Pelodiscus sinensis: one gene and its partner. The protein of the gene in region 1 purifies or fractionates together with the protein of each later gene. This does not show direct contact. Links are inferred from orthologs where the notes say so. Each region holds a gene or a part of one and is shown in the gene's direction. Other genes may lie near its edges.

Region 1 (7,419 bases):
TCCCATCAGTCCTGTATCTCAGGCTGACTCCCAAGGAACTGTTCTGAAAGGAGTCTGACAGCATGGCTGAAAACATTATGCTGAACAGGGTCGGTGCCAGCATGCACCCTTGCTTGACGCTGTTTGTGACGGGAAAAGCCTCTAAAGCTTCTCCATCGTCCAGAACACGAGCCGTCATGGAACTGACGTACCATCAGGATGAATCTGTCAGGGCACCCAAACTTCGACATGATGCACCACAGACCTTTGTGACTGACAGTGTCAAAAGCCTTGGTGAGATCCACAAAGATGGTGTACAGTTCACGATTCTGCTCTTGACACTTCTCTTGGAGCTGTCGGGCTGCGAAGATCATATCCACAGTGCCACACTCTTTGTGGAAGCCGCACTGTGTCTTGGGTAATAAACCCTGTTCCAGGTGGTCAATCAGGCGATTCAACAACACTCGTGCAAGGATCTTGCCTGCGATGGAGAGCAGTGATATTCCTCTATGATTATCGCAGACTTGTCGATTTCCTCTCCTCTAGTAGAGGTGTACGATGGACGCGTCTTTCAGTTCCTGAGGAATAGATCCTTGATTCCAGAAGGACTGGAACAGCTGAGTGAGTTTGTCGACAAGCATTGCACCACCATCCTTATAGACTTCCACTGGGATCGCATCAGATCCTGGGGCCTTACCACTGGACAACTGGCTGATGGCCTGTAAGGTTTCAGTCTCTGATGGTGAGACATCCAGGCTGTGGTTGATATCCGCCTGGGGCATTCTATCAATCGCCTCGTTATTGATGGAGGATGGGCGGTTCAGTACGGATTGGAAGTGCTCAGCCCAACGCTGTAGAATCAGAGTCTTCTCAGTAATGAGAGTTACATCATCTGAGTCCAGTAGAGGGGAGCTCCCTGAGGGCTGAGGTCCGTACAAAGATCTAAGGGCTTCGTAGAACCGTTTGGCATCGTTTCCTGTCAGCAAACTTCTGGATTTCATCTGCTTTGGCACTCAACCAGGAGTCCTGCATCTTGCGAAGCTTGCTCTGTACGGTCCTGCGAATGTTGTTGAAAGCATTTTTCTTAGCTGTTGACGATGGGTCGTCTACCATTGAAGTAGACCGGAGTTATGGCCTTTTCCAATTTAGTGGTCCTTTATTTTAACACCTTAGACAAGCTTTATTGCTGCCGCCTTTCGGAAAACACAGTGGGATTATGAAGCACTGGCACTTTCAGAAACACACAGCATGCTACTTCTTTGAAGTTGTGGAATGGCATATAAAATAGGAATGTGAAAAGTTAACCAGTACGCATCACCTTTAACAGGGGATGCTTACTGGTTAAACAGCAGAGGCTGCTCCAGCCCTGTGGGGCCTGCAACAGGCAGTGGGCTGATCTGGCACGGGTGGGCTGGCGCAGCACCCCCTGCTCCCGCTAACTGATTAAATGTGATGTGTAACAAGTTAACCGGTTAATCAATTAAACAGGACTGTATATCACTAATATAAAATACAGTTGAATAACTGCAAAACTCCATTGCCAATACCAGATTCTCTATACCCAGTTTTCAAAGTGAATAGCTGCTGCTTTGTCCCTGAGTGTGTCAAATCTAGTACTTACCACAAACTTTCCCAAGTGAAAGAGGGCTGCAGAACGATTGGCATAACACAATGACATTTCTGGGCTGTCAAGTGCTACGTGGGACACTGCCTGCAAAGATAAAAAAGAGCAGTGGCCACACTGAGAAAGGAGGATTGGCATATGTTCCCTGGACAACTTGATTTCTGGAACATGAGATGTGCGTGGTCAGGAGTAGGAAGGGAACTAGAGATTTTCATTCCCAATCCGTCATCATTTTATCTTGACTTCTTCAATTTTTACTCCATGCTACAACAGCCAGGAGAGCTCGTGTGATTCTCAGATGCCTAAATAGGGGAATACAGACGAGCAGGGAGGTCGTATTATTTCTGTAGATTACTTTAGTGAAACAATTACTGGAACATTGTTCCTGATTTTGATGTGTGCTCTTCAAAGAGAAATAATGTTACATTGAAGAGCTAACACATTACTCATGCTCTGAAAAACCTGTCTTATAAAAGACTTAAGGTTAAAAGAGGATAGAATCACAGTCTATAAGTACTTACATTATGATATTTCATTAGGCTTTTTTCTGTACTGAACTCAGACTTGAAATACAATGCAAAATTTTAACAGGCCAACCAACCACTGGAACAATTAACCTAAGGAACATGGTGGATTCACCATCAATGTAAATCTGTAAACCAAAACTGGATGCCTTTCTAAAGACACATAGTTTAACCACAATTAATTTGATGTAGGATATTACAGGATGAAATTCCCAGGCCTCAGTTCTGTAGGAGGTCAGATTAGATTATTAGGCAGTCTTCCATCCACGGGATCACGAGGCAATTACAAAAGCCTATACATTGAACCTCAACACCCTTGTGAAAATGTTTTTATTCAAGATAAAACTAGACCCAATCCAGTCTAGTGCAGAGCTCTCTCAGCCCCTGTGAAAGTCACAGGGAGTTGAATGTGCTCAGCACCTTTCCAGACTGAACAAAGTGCAGTGCTGGGCTTGCCCAGATTTACAGCAGAGCTAGGAATAACACAGAGTCATGTGGTAACAGAGCTATTTACTAGAGAAGACTGAACATGCAGCAGAACAAAACCCAGGACTGTCCTACAGAGGGCTGCTTCCTTGCCAGTTTCACATAACAGGAGACCCTTGCCACAGGATTCATAAGCACCCGGGCATTGCAGCTAAAGGCCTGGTCTACACTCGCCCATTGTCACCCAAAGCTGCCTTTTGTCGCCAAAACAGCGAGAACATTTACACTACAACGTGATGGGAAAAACACACAATTTTGTCAATAAAAACTCCCCCCCCCCCCCCAGAGACTTTTGTCTTTCCCCTCCCTTTATAGTGGACAAAGAGCCAGTGTGAATTTTGTTGAGAAATATCACACAATGCCTGCCCTGATGGCTCTGCTTCCTGTTTTGTGATGTCTGCTGCCCTTCAGACATGGGTCCCTCACCTGGCATGCACCCCAGGATGTACCTGACAGCTGAGCGGGATGCACTGTTGGGGGAACAAAGAACAAGTCCTGCCCGGAACACAGCTGCTGGCACACTGGCCGTGGACATTCCTGGGCAGGGAGAGCTCCCAGAGCTCATCAGGACGCTGCTCCAGGCAGCGAAGGGACAGATCCGCTAAGCCTGCCAGCCGCCCTGTGGGATGCTGACCCCGGCGGCTCTGCTCTAGCTGTGGCAGAGGAGCTCGCTCGCCATGTGGCCATGGAATGTGGCCAACGGGAGGGCCAGAAAACGTGTTACAAGTCTGCATGTGACAGCACTCGGTGGCCAAACCTGCCCAGCGCAGCCACAGCCGAGCCGCCACCAGACCCGCCGCACACCTTGCTGTAGAGCCCGGCCGCAGCCGCGTAGTCCCGGCCCTGGAAGCGCTGGGTCCCCTCCTGCTTGTAGAAGCGGGCGGCGCGTGGGTCCTTCCCGACCCCGACCCGGGCCGCCAGGCTCCGCAGCACCGCCTCGTCCGCTGGCCTGGGGGGCGGGAGAAGAGTCGGGTCGGGGGGGCCGGCGGGGGGGAGAGCGAGGGAGCGGGAGGAGGGGCCGCTCCCCGGGGCCGGCGGGGGGAGGGGGGGGCCGCTCCCCGGGGCCGGCGGGGGGAGGGGGGGGGCCGCTCCCCGGGGCCGGCGGGGGGAGGGGGGGGGCCGCTCCCCGGGGCCGGCGGGGGGAGGGGGGGGGCCGCTCCCCGGGGCCGGCGGGGGGAGGGGGGGGCCGCTCCCCGGGGCCGGCGGGGGGAGCGGGAGCGGGGGGGGCTGCTCCCCGGGGCCGGCGGGGGGAGCGGGGGGCCGGCGGGGGGAGGGGGGCTGCTCCCCGGGGCCGGCGGGGGGAGGGGGGGGCCGGCGGGGGGAGGGGGGCTGCTCCCCGGGGCCGGCGGGGGGGAGGGGGGGGCCGGCGGGGGGAGGGGGGCTGCTCCCCGGGGCCGGCGGGGGGAGGGGGGGCCGGCGGGGGGAGGGGGGCTGCTCCCCGGGGCCGGCGGGGGGAGGGGGGGCTGCTCCCCGGGGCCGGCGGGGGGAGGGGGGGCCGGCGGGGGGGAGGGGGGCTGCTCCCCGGGGCCGGCGGGGGGAGGGGGGGGCTGCTCCCCGGGGCCGGCGGGGGGGGGGAGCGGGGGGGGCGCTCCCCGGGGCCGGCGGGGGGAGCGGGGGGCTGCTCCCCGGGGCGCTCACCGCAGCAGGGGCGCGCAGAGCCGGAAGGTGTCCCGCAGCGGCGCGGCCTCGCACAGCGCCTCCCGCAGGGCCGGGGCCAGCGAGCCCCACCGCCCCCGAGCATGGGCCCGCCAGGCCTCCGCGGGCAGCTCCATGGGCGGCGCGAGGCTCCCCCGGCAGCTGCTGCAATGGCGGCGCCCGCACCCCAGAGGCTCCCTTCCGCCGTACGCGCGCCAGCCAATGGGGGAGCCGCGCGGCTGACGTGGTGCGTGCGGAGCGTGCGCGGTGACGCGGCGGCCGAGCGGGCTGCGGCGGGAGCATTTGGCGGCAGCGCGCGGAGCCGGAGCCTGTGGCGCAGCATGAGCGCGCGCCTGAGCGAAGGGGCCATCGCGGTGAGGGGGGGCTAGTGCGCGGGGCGGGGCGGGGCGAGGTTTCGGGGTGCCCGTGCAATGGGTGGGGGTTGCGGGGCCCCCCCCCGGGATGGGCGAGGGCGGGGCGCCCCCCCGGGATGGGCGGGGGCGGGGCGGGGTTGCGGGGGGCCCCCCCCCGGGATGGGCGGGGTTGCGGGCCCCCCCCCGGGATGGGCGGGGGCGGGGCGGGGTTGCGGGGGGCCCCCCCCCGGGATGGGCGGGGGTGCGGGGGGGCCCCCCCGGGATGGGCGGGGGTGCGGGGGGGCCCCCCCCCGGGATGGGCGGGGGTGCGGGCCGGCCCCCCCCCGGGATGGGCGGGGTTGCGGGCCCCCCCCGGGATGGGCGGGGTTGCGGGGGGGCCCCCCCCCCGGGATGGGCGGGGTTGCGGGGTGCACCATGCGCTGAGACGAGGGGGACAGTCCCCGGGCCGGTGTGGACTGGGGGAGTCCGTCCTGTTGGCCCCGTGGAGCGGGGAGGGGAGCGCAGGCTGCTGAGGACTGTGACTAATCTCCCCTCCCCCAGCTGTCTCCGGAGCACCCCGGGGGGGGGGCAATGTTGGGGTGTGCCAGAGAGAATTCTGAAGTCCTTGAATAAGTTACAGTCTGTAGGAAGTAGAACTACTTTCAGCATCTCCATAGACTGCCTGAAAGGGCTCAACAGGCTACTGTGTGAGAAATGATGAACTAGCAACTTGGCCTGTTACTTCCCATAAAGTCCAGGGATTTCTTAGGTGAAACACGTCTCTCAGCACATAGTCTTGCCCTTTTCCTTGTACCAGCAGTGTGATTCCTTCTACAGTGAACAGAACTTTTCAGGATGTTCACATTGCTGGCATACTATCTACGTTTGATTTAGCACTTTGGGAGCCGTTTATTATAATTAGTCTAGTTATTTATTTGCTAATCTCCCTGGTTACAAAGTTTAAAGAAAATCATTTCCAATCAAAAGGATTAAATCCTCTATCTTCCTTTACAGGCCATAATGCAGGGAGAGAATAATTTAAGACCTGTTCTCCAAGTCATTGTGAGTATTCCTTCAAATGTCCTCTTACTCGTGTGACCTGTAGCTTAATGTACTTGTAAGTGTATGTGCCGTTTTACAAATCCATAAAGACAAGGTACCTAACCTGGCAACCATTAAGTTTAACTGGTTAAATGATTTGACAGAAGTGGGTGAGCTGGAGAGGACCCTGCACTGTGGGCTGAGACTTCCAACCCCGCTCTTGGCTGTCAGCTCCCAATCTGGGCTCGCAGGCTGGGAATCTGCAGCATCACAAGGGGTGGAAGCAGCAGCCTTGTGCAGGGCTGGAAGTGGCAGGCTCCTTCCCCTCCCTCCCCACCACTTCTAGCTCCGTTTGAGCTGCCAAAGAAGTGAAAGTCTTGTAGGTGAGTAGACCAGTACTAGCAACTTGTACTTGAAAGGCTCATTGGCATGAATCTGCACAAGCATGTTTTAGTCAGTCTGAGAGAGGCTTTAATTGAATGTCATCTATCTTAGTTTTCTGTTTTATGAGTAAGCTCTCCAGAACAGGTGTCAGCTCTTCGTTGTTTCTAATGTATGCCTGTAAAATCAGATCAGGGCTAAGAATTCAAGTTTTTCCTTCTAGAACATCCGAGCCATCGCCACAGGAAATGGGCCACCTCGTTACCGTGTGCTGATGAGCGATGGGGTGAACACACTCTCCTGTAAGTTATGCATTGTCACAAGAATTTACAAGTACATGGCTAATAATTAGACCCAATGGTCAGAATTAATGACAGTGGTATTTGCTGCTGAACTGAGTTCCAGAATGTGAATGGTATAGAATTTATTTTGATGTTGGAATCTGTAACTGTATTTTATCTTATAAATAAACTCCAGCTTTTCTGAGTTGTTGCAGTGTGTCCAAGAATTTGTTTATTATAGAGAACAGCTCAATTCTATGGAATGGTGATTAGCGACTATCTTAATAATGGTGGTCTGGGTGGATTGATTTAAATCAAGGTGATTTGAGTCATGAATTTAAATCAAGTTATCAAAGAAGCTTAGATTTAATGTGCTTAGAGTGCACTTAATTTTGGAGTAAACCCCAAATTTTGGAGTAAGCCCGGATTGAACTCACTGGCCCCTCTGGGGTTCTCTTGGAAAAGATAAGTTATGCTGAAGAAAAATAGGTAATTATGATCTGGACCATGATGTTCCAAAATGAGAGGCATGTATTTTGTAATATCTGATAAGAAAATGACAGTCAGTGGCAACTGGCAACTCTAGATTTCTTTTACTGTAGCTTTCTATATTGTATACTTGAATGACAGATTCTAATCCTGGTTAACTAATTAAAAACAAGCTATAAGGATTAGCTAAGAGAATTTTTTTTTCAGCAAAATGTAATACAGCAAACAGCTTGGGAATTTACTTGTCAAATCACACACTAAAAGGCATAGAGTCTTGATGAATGATGTATTTCAAAGTGAATTATTTAAATTACTAACTGTGGATACCACTTAGATCTTCATCTTTATCTTTTAGAAGATGTATCCACATCTTCATCTACATCATTTTCTCCCAATAAGCAGTTTTCCTTATTAGTTTTGTTCTTGCAACTAGACCCTGCATCGTCATGTTGCGCTACTTCCACTTGACAAGTTTTTCTTTTTTACCCGGGGAACGAATTTCTTCAAAATATTCCTGATAGGGTGTGTCTGATGCCCAGAAGCCATGATGCATTTTCTGTGGCAAATGTGGGGGAATATAGAAAGCTCTGTGTTCTGTTCTCAGACTTTAGAGAGTTAATATGTAA
Region 2 (7,945 bases), on another chromosome or scaffold:
AATAGCACTAAGCCTATCATTACAGAAGATTTAATAATGGGAAAAATTGTTTGTGCCCTTTTTTGCTTTTTTTCATTGTATTTTATTTTTGAAGATTGAAACTCCTTTCTTGCATATTCCATTTTTCCTAAGAGACTATGACCTGCTGGGATGTTGGCATATGTATAACATTAGAGGCACCAAGCAAGAAAATTGATTAATAAAAAGGAATATTTTATTGAAATTGTTTTGAACTCTGGGATGCTTTATGGTTGTTTTTTAACACCTTTAACACACATTTGAGAGCAAAACCTCTTTTTTTTGTTAATAATTCAGTTTGTCCACCAATACAACTAAGGCTAAGAAACTCCAGAGCCCACATCTCTAAATGACTGGAGTCCACCAGCAAAAACAGGAAAAATTAAAACAAAAAATCAGAAATGTCAAGTTTTAAATTAATAAAAAAAAAGATTATTTTCAATAAAAAGGAAATTCATATGCTAAGTCTTCAGGCCTCCATTATACATCACACAGAAGAAAGGGGCATATTATTTTTTTCTGCTTTGTGCTCTACGTGCTGTTTGATTTACATTTGGAACTGTGCATTGTTTGTGATCATGATTTAAAACACTTAAAGTTTCATAGTCTCCCATTCTTAGACAAACTAAGTGACTCACTCCGCTCTTTCCATTCTCCTTTCATTATGCTAAAGATTTAAGGATAACCTCTCATCACACTAAAATGTTTTATAAGAGATCTAACACAATCTTGCTTTTTGCAAGATTGGAGTACACTGATTTCTCCATATACCGGCATGCCAATATCGTCCCATTCAATATTCCTTCCAGCTTAAGCAGATGATGAGTTCCAAATATGTACGTGTGGATAATGTTTCGTGACTAACAAAAATATGCCACTCAGGACACTTATAACTTTGAATTAAATAACTGGGGATGTGTTCAAGATAATCCTTTTACCTATTGCTCCCTGTCTCCAAAAAGTGAAGTTTTATTCAAATTATTTCAAAAGCAAGAGCTCTTAACAGTTTTTTTTTCAGTGTTACAAAAGGCAATTTAACCAATTAAGGCTCACAACTGGATCCCAAGGGCCTGCAAAGCCCCATGGGTAATTCCCAGGGGCGCTAGAGCAATTTTTATAAATAGGGTACTGACGATGGAAACCACATATTTGGTATTATTACTTCAAAACAGGGAGTGCAGGAGTACCTCTAGTTCCAGCACACCGGTAATTCCCCCTGAGCCGGTGCCTGCACGCCATGTGATGGGAGCTCACTGCAAGACTGGGGCAAAGTATTTCTAGGGGTCCAGACGCTAAGAGGAGGAAAATCAGCATAGTTTCCAACATTTCCTGTTCTGGTGACAGGGCCGTCCTTAGGGTGGGGGAAACAGAGCAGTGGCTGGTCCATAGGGTGCGGGGCTACACTCAGGGCTGCAGGGGCAGGAGCAGTGTAAGGAGGCGTAAGTGTGGGAACTCAGGGGCGCTGCAGCACCCCCACCTTTACGTGGATTCCTCGCTGCTGCCAACCCCACATCCCGGGTCCGGCTGCTATCCAGGGCTCCACCACTTGCCCTGAACCTCAGCTTCCAGCCCTGTCTGGGTCCCTGCACCGTGAAGTGGAGTGGATAACCACGGACTGAGCACAGCCCGGGGTGGAGGATGGCTGCTGGCATCAGCACTGCCCAGCACCTTGTGGTCCCCTTTTGCAGTGGTGGCCTTAGGCCAGTGGTTCTCAAACTGTGGTCCTTGGACCACCACCTTCCAGGTAGTCCGCAGCTCAAGGTCAGCCCCGTCCTTCCCCCCACTTCCTGCCTCCCTCCTTCTCCCTGCAGCAGGAAGCTTGCACTGGCTCTCCAGCCTCGTGCTCTCACTCCCACCAGCAAGGTTGGTGCATCACTGCTGAGTTTCCTCTGTGGTGGACGGGAAGCCCTGAGCCTCCCTGCCAGATTATGGGGAAGAAGTGGAGCCGGAAGCAGCTCTGTGCACTGACACTCTCCCTCCCACTTCTTCAGCTGGGGAAACAGCAGTGCACAGCCCCTCTGCCTGCAGGCTTTCTCTGCTGCTCCAATTGGCCGGATTGACTGGGAGCAGCATGGCGCACAAAAGCAAACAAGTGCTCTTTCTTCCCCTCATGCCCAGATCCTGCATTCTCACCCTGCTTCTGCACCGCTCCCCACTGAGACCCCGTATTACCAGGCCACTCCTGCACCCTTCTCCCTGGCCAGACACCCGACCACCAGCCTTCTCCTGCACCCTCTCCCCTGGTTAGACACCCTTCTCCCCCACCCTACTCCTGCATGCTCCCTTGCTCTTGCACTCTACCCCTGGCCAGACACCCTCAACCCGCTCAAGCACCCTCTCTTGCTCCTGCAACCTTCCTCCTGGCCAGACGCCCAGCCCATGGTAATCCCTGAACTGCAGTCTTCCCTGTCCCTCTCCTTGACCCCATGGGGCTGAAACCCCACAGGAGTGAGGTGTCCCAGTTGGGGGCCACATCAGTGAGGGCTGGGGGGTTTTGGATGGATTTGTTTTGCTTTTCACTTGTGTGGTCTCCAACTGATTTTTCTGTGGGTTAGAGGCCTCTGAGCCAAAAACAGTTCCTCACCCCTGCCAAAACATTGAAACCTTTTGTGTTGAACATAAAGTAATACTTCAGAGGGGTAGCCAAGTAGTCTGTAACAGGAAAAACTTTAAAAACAACAAGTAGTCTAGTAGCACTTTATAGACTAACAAAACATGTAGATCAGGGGTCTCCAACCTTTTTAACCACAAGATCACTTTTTTAATTTAAGAGCCATGTAAAATCTACCTCAAACCCAAATAACCTTGCCCCGTTTTCTTCCAGCCCCTTCTTTGAGGCCCTACCCCTTCTTCACCCCTTCTCCGAGGCCTCACCCTCACCCTGCTCACTCCATCCCCCTTCCTCCCACATCCTCACTCTTTTTCACCGGGCTGGGGTCAGGGGTTGGGGTGAAGGTTCTGGTCTTTGGCTAAGGGATTTGGAGTGTGGGAGGGGCTTCGGGCTTAGCCCAGGGTGGGGGATTGAGGTCCAGGAGGGGTTTCAAGGTGCAAGCTCTGGGCTGGGACAGGGTTTCAGGAAGCAGGCTCTGGCTGGGCACCGTTTAATTGAGACAGCTTCCGGGTGGTGGAACAGTGGGGCAGGGCAACCGGTCCATATAGGCGAACTAGGTGGTCTCCTAGGGCACCAAGTTAAATGGGGCACCAAATGATGGCACAATATCATTGAGGGGTTTGGAGGTGGGGGCGCTGATTGCATGGTTCGCCTAGGGCGCCAGTTGCTTGCAGCTAGTCTAGGGCCGCCCCTGCAGTGGAGTTAAGGCAGTCTTACTCCAGTCCTGGCCCTGCACCACTCCTGAAAGCAGCTAGCATGTAAAGCAATGGCTCCATGCTGCCCCTCATCACAGGCACTGAGCCCACGGCTTCTACTGGCCACAGTTCCCCATTACTGATCAATGGGAGCTGCAGGAGTGGTGTCTGCAGGCAAGGACAGCATGTGGAGACCCCCTGCTCTCCCTTTCTCAGGAGCTGCATGAACATGCCAGCCACTTCCAGGAGCAGCAATTCCCACAGGGGTAATTACTCCAGCCATGACAGGTTAAGCATTTTAGAACTCACTCCTCAAAGAAATACATTTAAGCATAAGAGAGAAATGAAAATTATGAAATGAACAGACTAGTCAGAAACCAAAAATAAAACACTTCACAAAGAGTAACAGAAGTAACAACAACCCACATTTCTGTTAGGTTGGGAGATGTGAGTGAAGGGCAGTATGTGTTTGTGAGAATGATAGAGACACACATTGTGTGAGAGTGACAGAGATTTGCACTGCCAAGCTCCCGCCATCCCCTTCTCTCTGTGTGGAGACAGGGTACAGGAGTGGGGGGAGGAGGGACACTCTGACATCAGCACCCCCCATCCTCTCCCTCCCACATCCTGCACAGCAAGAAAGAGGCTCCCAGGGGGACAGCTCCAAGGCAGCCGGCAGGAGCAGCATAAGTGTGGGTGGAGGAGTAACTGGAGTGACAGTGCTTGATAGCTTCCTGGCCAAACCAGTCAGGATCACCTGTCAGAGGCTCCAAGCTCTACCAGTAGATCCTGATCTACTGGTTGGTGACCATTGATGTAGATGGTATCACAAGGTTGTTTTTCCTTTATAAAGTAATTCTGTAATTTATTTAAAATGAAGTTTAATAAACTAACATAAGAAAATTAAAACATTTAATTAAAACTCTTTAATAATTTAACATTTCCTTTCTTACTGGTTAAGGTTAAATCAAACCATTCTCTCTACCTCCAGCACTAGCAAAATGACTCAGGCATAATTATGTAATTAATGGCGAGTTTCCATTAGCAACTGGTGGTCCAGGGAAAGGTTTGCGTAGAAACATGTGAGGTTTGAAAACCACTGCCCTAGGTGTACATAGCAGGCACTAAAAGTGGGGCTTCCTGCCCTACAGTGCTGAGGATTCAGCATATGCCTAAGGATGGTGATTTTGTCAGGTTTTGTGTTCCTTCAAGCCCCACCTCCAGGATTCAGGCGACTCTCATTTTTTTTTATTATTATTATTATTAACCAAACAAGCAAGCTCCTCCACCTATGGTTGCAGAGGAAAGCTGCAGAATGCTTGGGAGAATGCTGGCTTAAGCCAAGCGCAGCGCTCAGAAGGCCAATCCACTGCAGCGGTGCTGGAACTAGGGGCACTCTTGCACCCCGGGGGCCTGCTGTGGGTTCCAGCCATTGCAGCTCAGTGCAAGGATCAGTGGCTCGCTTGCCCCGCGGGCCCAGCACCAAGGTGGCCGCGCGCTCAGCACCTGGCCCGAAAGCCACGTGCGCAGCCCCAGCGCGCGCGGGCAGCCGGGGAAGGGGAGGGGCGGGCAGCCGCGCGCTCTCGCGAGGCCCGGGAGCTGTTTGAGCGCGAGCCGCCGGGCTCTCCTGCTGCCCCGGGCGCGGACTGAGCGCCCCGCTGCAAAGGCGGGGAGGGGGCGCGCGCGGCCCCATGGAGTCTGCAGCCCCCAAGCAGCCGCCGCCGCCCGCCGGGAAAAGCAGGAACCTGCCATGGTAGGAGAAGCACAGAGCCTGGGCCCAGCGGTGCCGCGCAGCTGGGGTCGGGCCCGTCCAGCCCTGCCCCCCCCTCCCCCGATGCATGCTAAAGGGGGGGTTGGGTCCCTGCATCCCCCCTTTTCCCGCCAATTGCACGCGGGAGCTGGCATGGGGTGTGCAGGGGAGCTAGGATCCGCGAATCCAGCCCCCACTGTTGCATGCAAGAGCTGGCATGGGGTGTGCAGGGGAGCTAGGATCCGCGAATCCAGCCCCCACTGTTGCATGCAAGAGCTGGCATGGGGTGTGCAGGGGAGCTGGGATCCGCGAGTCCAGCCCCCACTGTTGCATGCAAGAGCTGGCATGGGGTGTGCAGGGGAGCTGGGATCCGCAAATCCAGCCCCCACTGTTGCATGCAAGAGCTGGCATGGGGTGTGCAGGGGAGCTAGGATCCGCGAGTCCAGCCCCCACTGTTGCATGCAAGAGCTGGCATGGGGTGTGCAGGGGAGCTGGGATCCGCGAATCCAGCCCCCACTGTTGCATGCAAGAGCTGGCATGGGGTGTGCAGGGGAGCTGGGATCCGCGAGTCCAGCCCCCACTGTTGCATGCAAGAGCTGGCATGGGGTGTGCAGGGGAGCTGGGATCCGCGAGTCCAGCCCCCACTGTTGCATGCAAGAGCTGGCATGGGGTGTGCAGGGGAGCTGGGATCCGCGAGTCCAGCCCCCACTGTTGCATGCAAGAGCTGGCATGGGGTGTGCAGGGGAGCTGGGATCCGCGAATCCAGCCCCCACTGTTGCATGTAAGAGCTGGCATGGGGTGTGCAGGGGAGCTGGGATCCGCGAATCCAGCCCCCACTGTTGCATGCAAGAGCTGGCATGGGGTGTGCAGGGGAGCTGGGATCCGCGAATCCAGCCCCCACTGTTGCATGCAAGAGCTGGCATGGGGTGTGCAGGGGAGCTGGGATCCGCGAATCCAGCCCCCACTGTTGCATGCAAGAGCTGGCATGGTGGAGCAGCTATGGCGTGGGGTTAGCTCCCTCTCCCCGCCCCCTTGCCCTGACTGCATGGAGGGCACAGCTCAGGCTATACAGCCCTGGGTTCTCCCTTCCTGTTTGCAACTCTTGCTTGCCCTCCCTCCCCTTGTGTCTCGTAGTTACAGGCTGCAGGCAGATGCGCTGCAATGGAGTATTCATTGCAAGGGATGAAGCTCGGTAAAGTTCAGGTTGTAGGAGAGGCCTAGGATAGCAGTAACAGCCGTTCCTAAAGTCAAAATAACTCCATGCCAAAGGGTTATGCAAATTGCCCCGGACTGTCCTCTCACCAGTGCTGGCACGGGGTAGGAAGTAGGATATAGCCCGCTTTTGTCAAAAATAGTTCTCTATGTCTTGCAGCCTTAGGAAGGGTCTGCCTCTCCTCCCCTTCCCAGATCTGGGGAAGCCACTCCTTCCTGAAGTGAGAAGAAGAGATGTTGGGGAAGGAAGGGCTGGCTTCAGATTCTGAGTTGGTGTAAATTGGTTCATGCTAGTTTGTTTCTCACCTGGTCTGATCTGGTGTGCCCTCCCCTGCCATCCATCTCCCCTGAGTAAATCAACAACCAAGTCTTTTATGACTTCAAATGCCATGTTCCTCCTGGGAGGTGGATCCCTGTATGTGGGGCAATTTGTCCAAAGTCAGCTGTTCCCTAGGGATTAATAGAAATAAGGCTACCCTGCTGTGGTGGCTCAGTGTTCACTGAGCCTGGCTTGCTTTACACTCAACACAGAACATCTGTTTAATAAAACATGGTGCCCAGCCAGTCCTGTACTCAGCCACGAGAGCGCACCTCAGCTGCTCTGTTCTAGTGGGATCATTTGCAATTCCCAACTCAGTTGACTCCAGCTTCTCTGCCCACCACCCGCAATCAATCCCCAGATTAACCCTTGTAAATGCCAGTGTGAAGACCTAGGACTTGCAGAGTATTTTGCGGTTAGAAGCATGGAGTTGGATCTAGTTCCTAAGGGCAGAGTTTTTCTAATTGTATAAGGCATGACAAAACTTTGGGGCATTTAAAGATATTGCAGATGCCAAAAGAGCAGGCTAGTCTTCAAAAGGGAACTTAGTCTCCAAAAGGGAACTGCAGGTGCCTGGATTGGGTTCTCTGTGCTAGGATTCAGCCAGGGCTTGGATTTGGCAATGCCGGAACCTAAGTTTGTGCAGAAAAATTACAAGTTCAGCTCATTTTGTGAGGGTTTTTTTGTCATCTTAAGGGTCAAACAGATCCCTTTGACTTGCAACCAGAACCACAAGGCTAGGTTCTGATGTCAGCCAAATCCAGAGTAGATTGAAGGTGAGTGTTTATCTAGCCTTGTGGGTGATTGTCCAGCATGGGGAAGAGAACAGAAAAATCTCATGTCTGGGACACCTGTTTTCTACACTTGTGAAAAGCCTGAAATCTCTGCTCATCATCTGCATTTATGTTAAAATACCTTTATCTTTAGGGTGGAAAAATATCGCCCTCAGACATTGAACGACCTAATTTCACACCAGGACATTCTGAGCACGAGTGAGTACTTAGTATTACCAGCATTTTTCTTTTGAGCCTCCTTATGGCCTTTACAGACATTAACTCCTGTGATACCTTTGGGCTTGGCAGCTATAATTTCCATTTTATAGATGGAGCCACTGAGGCAAAGGTCATCTGACTTGCCTAGGGTCACAGAGAAACTCAATGGAAGAGGTGGTAGCAGGACTTTGGCAGCAGGACTCCTGACTCCACATTATGTGACGGCAGAAGAGAAGCTGCATTATCTAATGACTGTGGAAACTAGCTTCTTTGCAATGGGTGGCAAGCTTGCAGAAACCAGTTAAATAGTCACTTCCTGTCATGCAATTAGTGATGTGTTGCCATGAT

Evidence for each region. The genes of interacting proteins can lie anywhere in the genome.
Region 2: the proteins of RPA1 (region 1) and RFC5 purify together in Homo sapiens (affinity purification with mass spectrometry; 3 studies listed by BioGRID and IntAct, with this or other methods). This does not show direct contact. The link is inferred for Pelodiscus sinensis from reciprocal best matches to the Homo sapiens genes RPA1 and RFC5.

The regions. Positions count from the first base shown.
Region 1 is NC_134731.1:874,906-882,324, reverse strand, and holds the start of RPA1 (replication protein A 70 kDa DNA-binding subunit), read left to right. Parts: upstream 1-4,385; 5' UTR 4,386-4,418; coding exon 4,419-4,622; intron 4,623-5,615; coding exon 5,616-5,663; intron 5,664-6,246; coding exon 6,247-6,325; intron 6,326-7,419. Other genes in the region: protein-lysine N-methyltransferase SMYD4, read right to left, coding at 1,601-1,690, 3,418-3,562, 4,252-4,385. UniProt on the Homo sapiens protein: As part of the heterotrimeric replication protein A complex (RPA/RP-A), binds and stabilizes single-stranded DNA intermediates that form during DNA replication or upon DNA stress.
Region 2 is NC_134725.1:10,998,468-11,006,412, reverse strand, and holds the start of RFC5 (replication factor C subunit 5), read left to right. Parts: upstream 1-4,892; 5' UTR 4,893-5,015; coding exon 5,016-5,077; intron 5,078-7,532; coding exon 7,533-7,597; intron 7,598-7,945. UniProt on the Homo sapiens protein: Subunit of the replication factor C (RFC) complex which acts during elongation of primed DNA templates by DNA polymerases delta and epsilon, and is necessary for ATP-dependent loading of proliferating cell nuclear antigen (PCNA) onto primed DNA.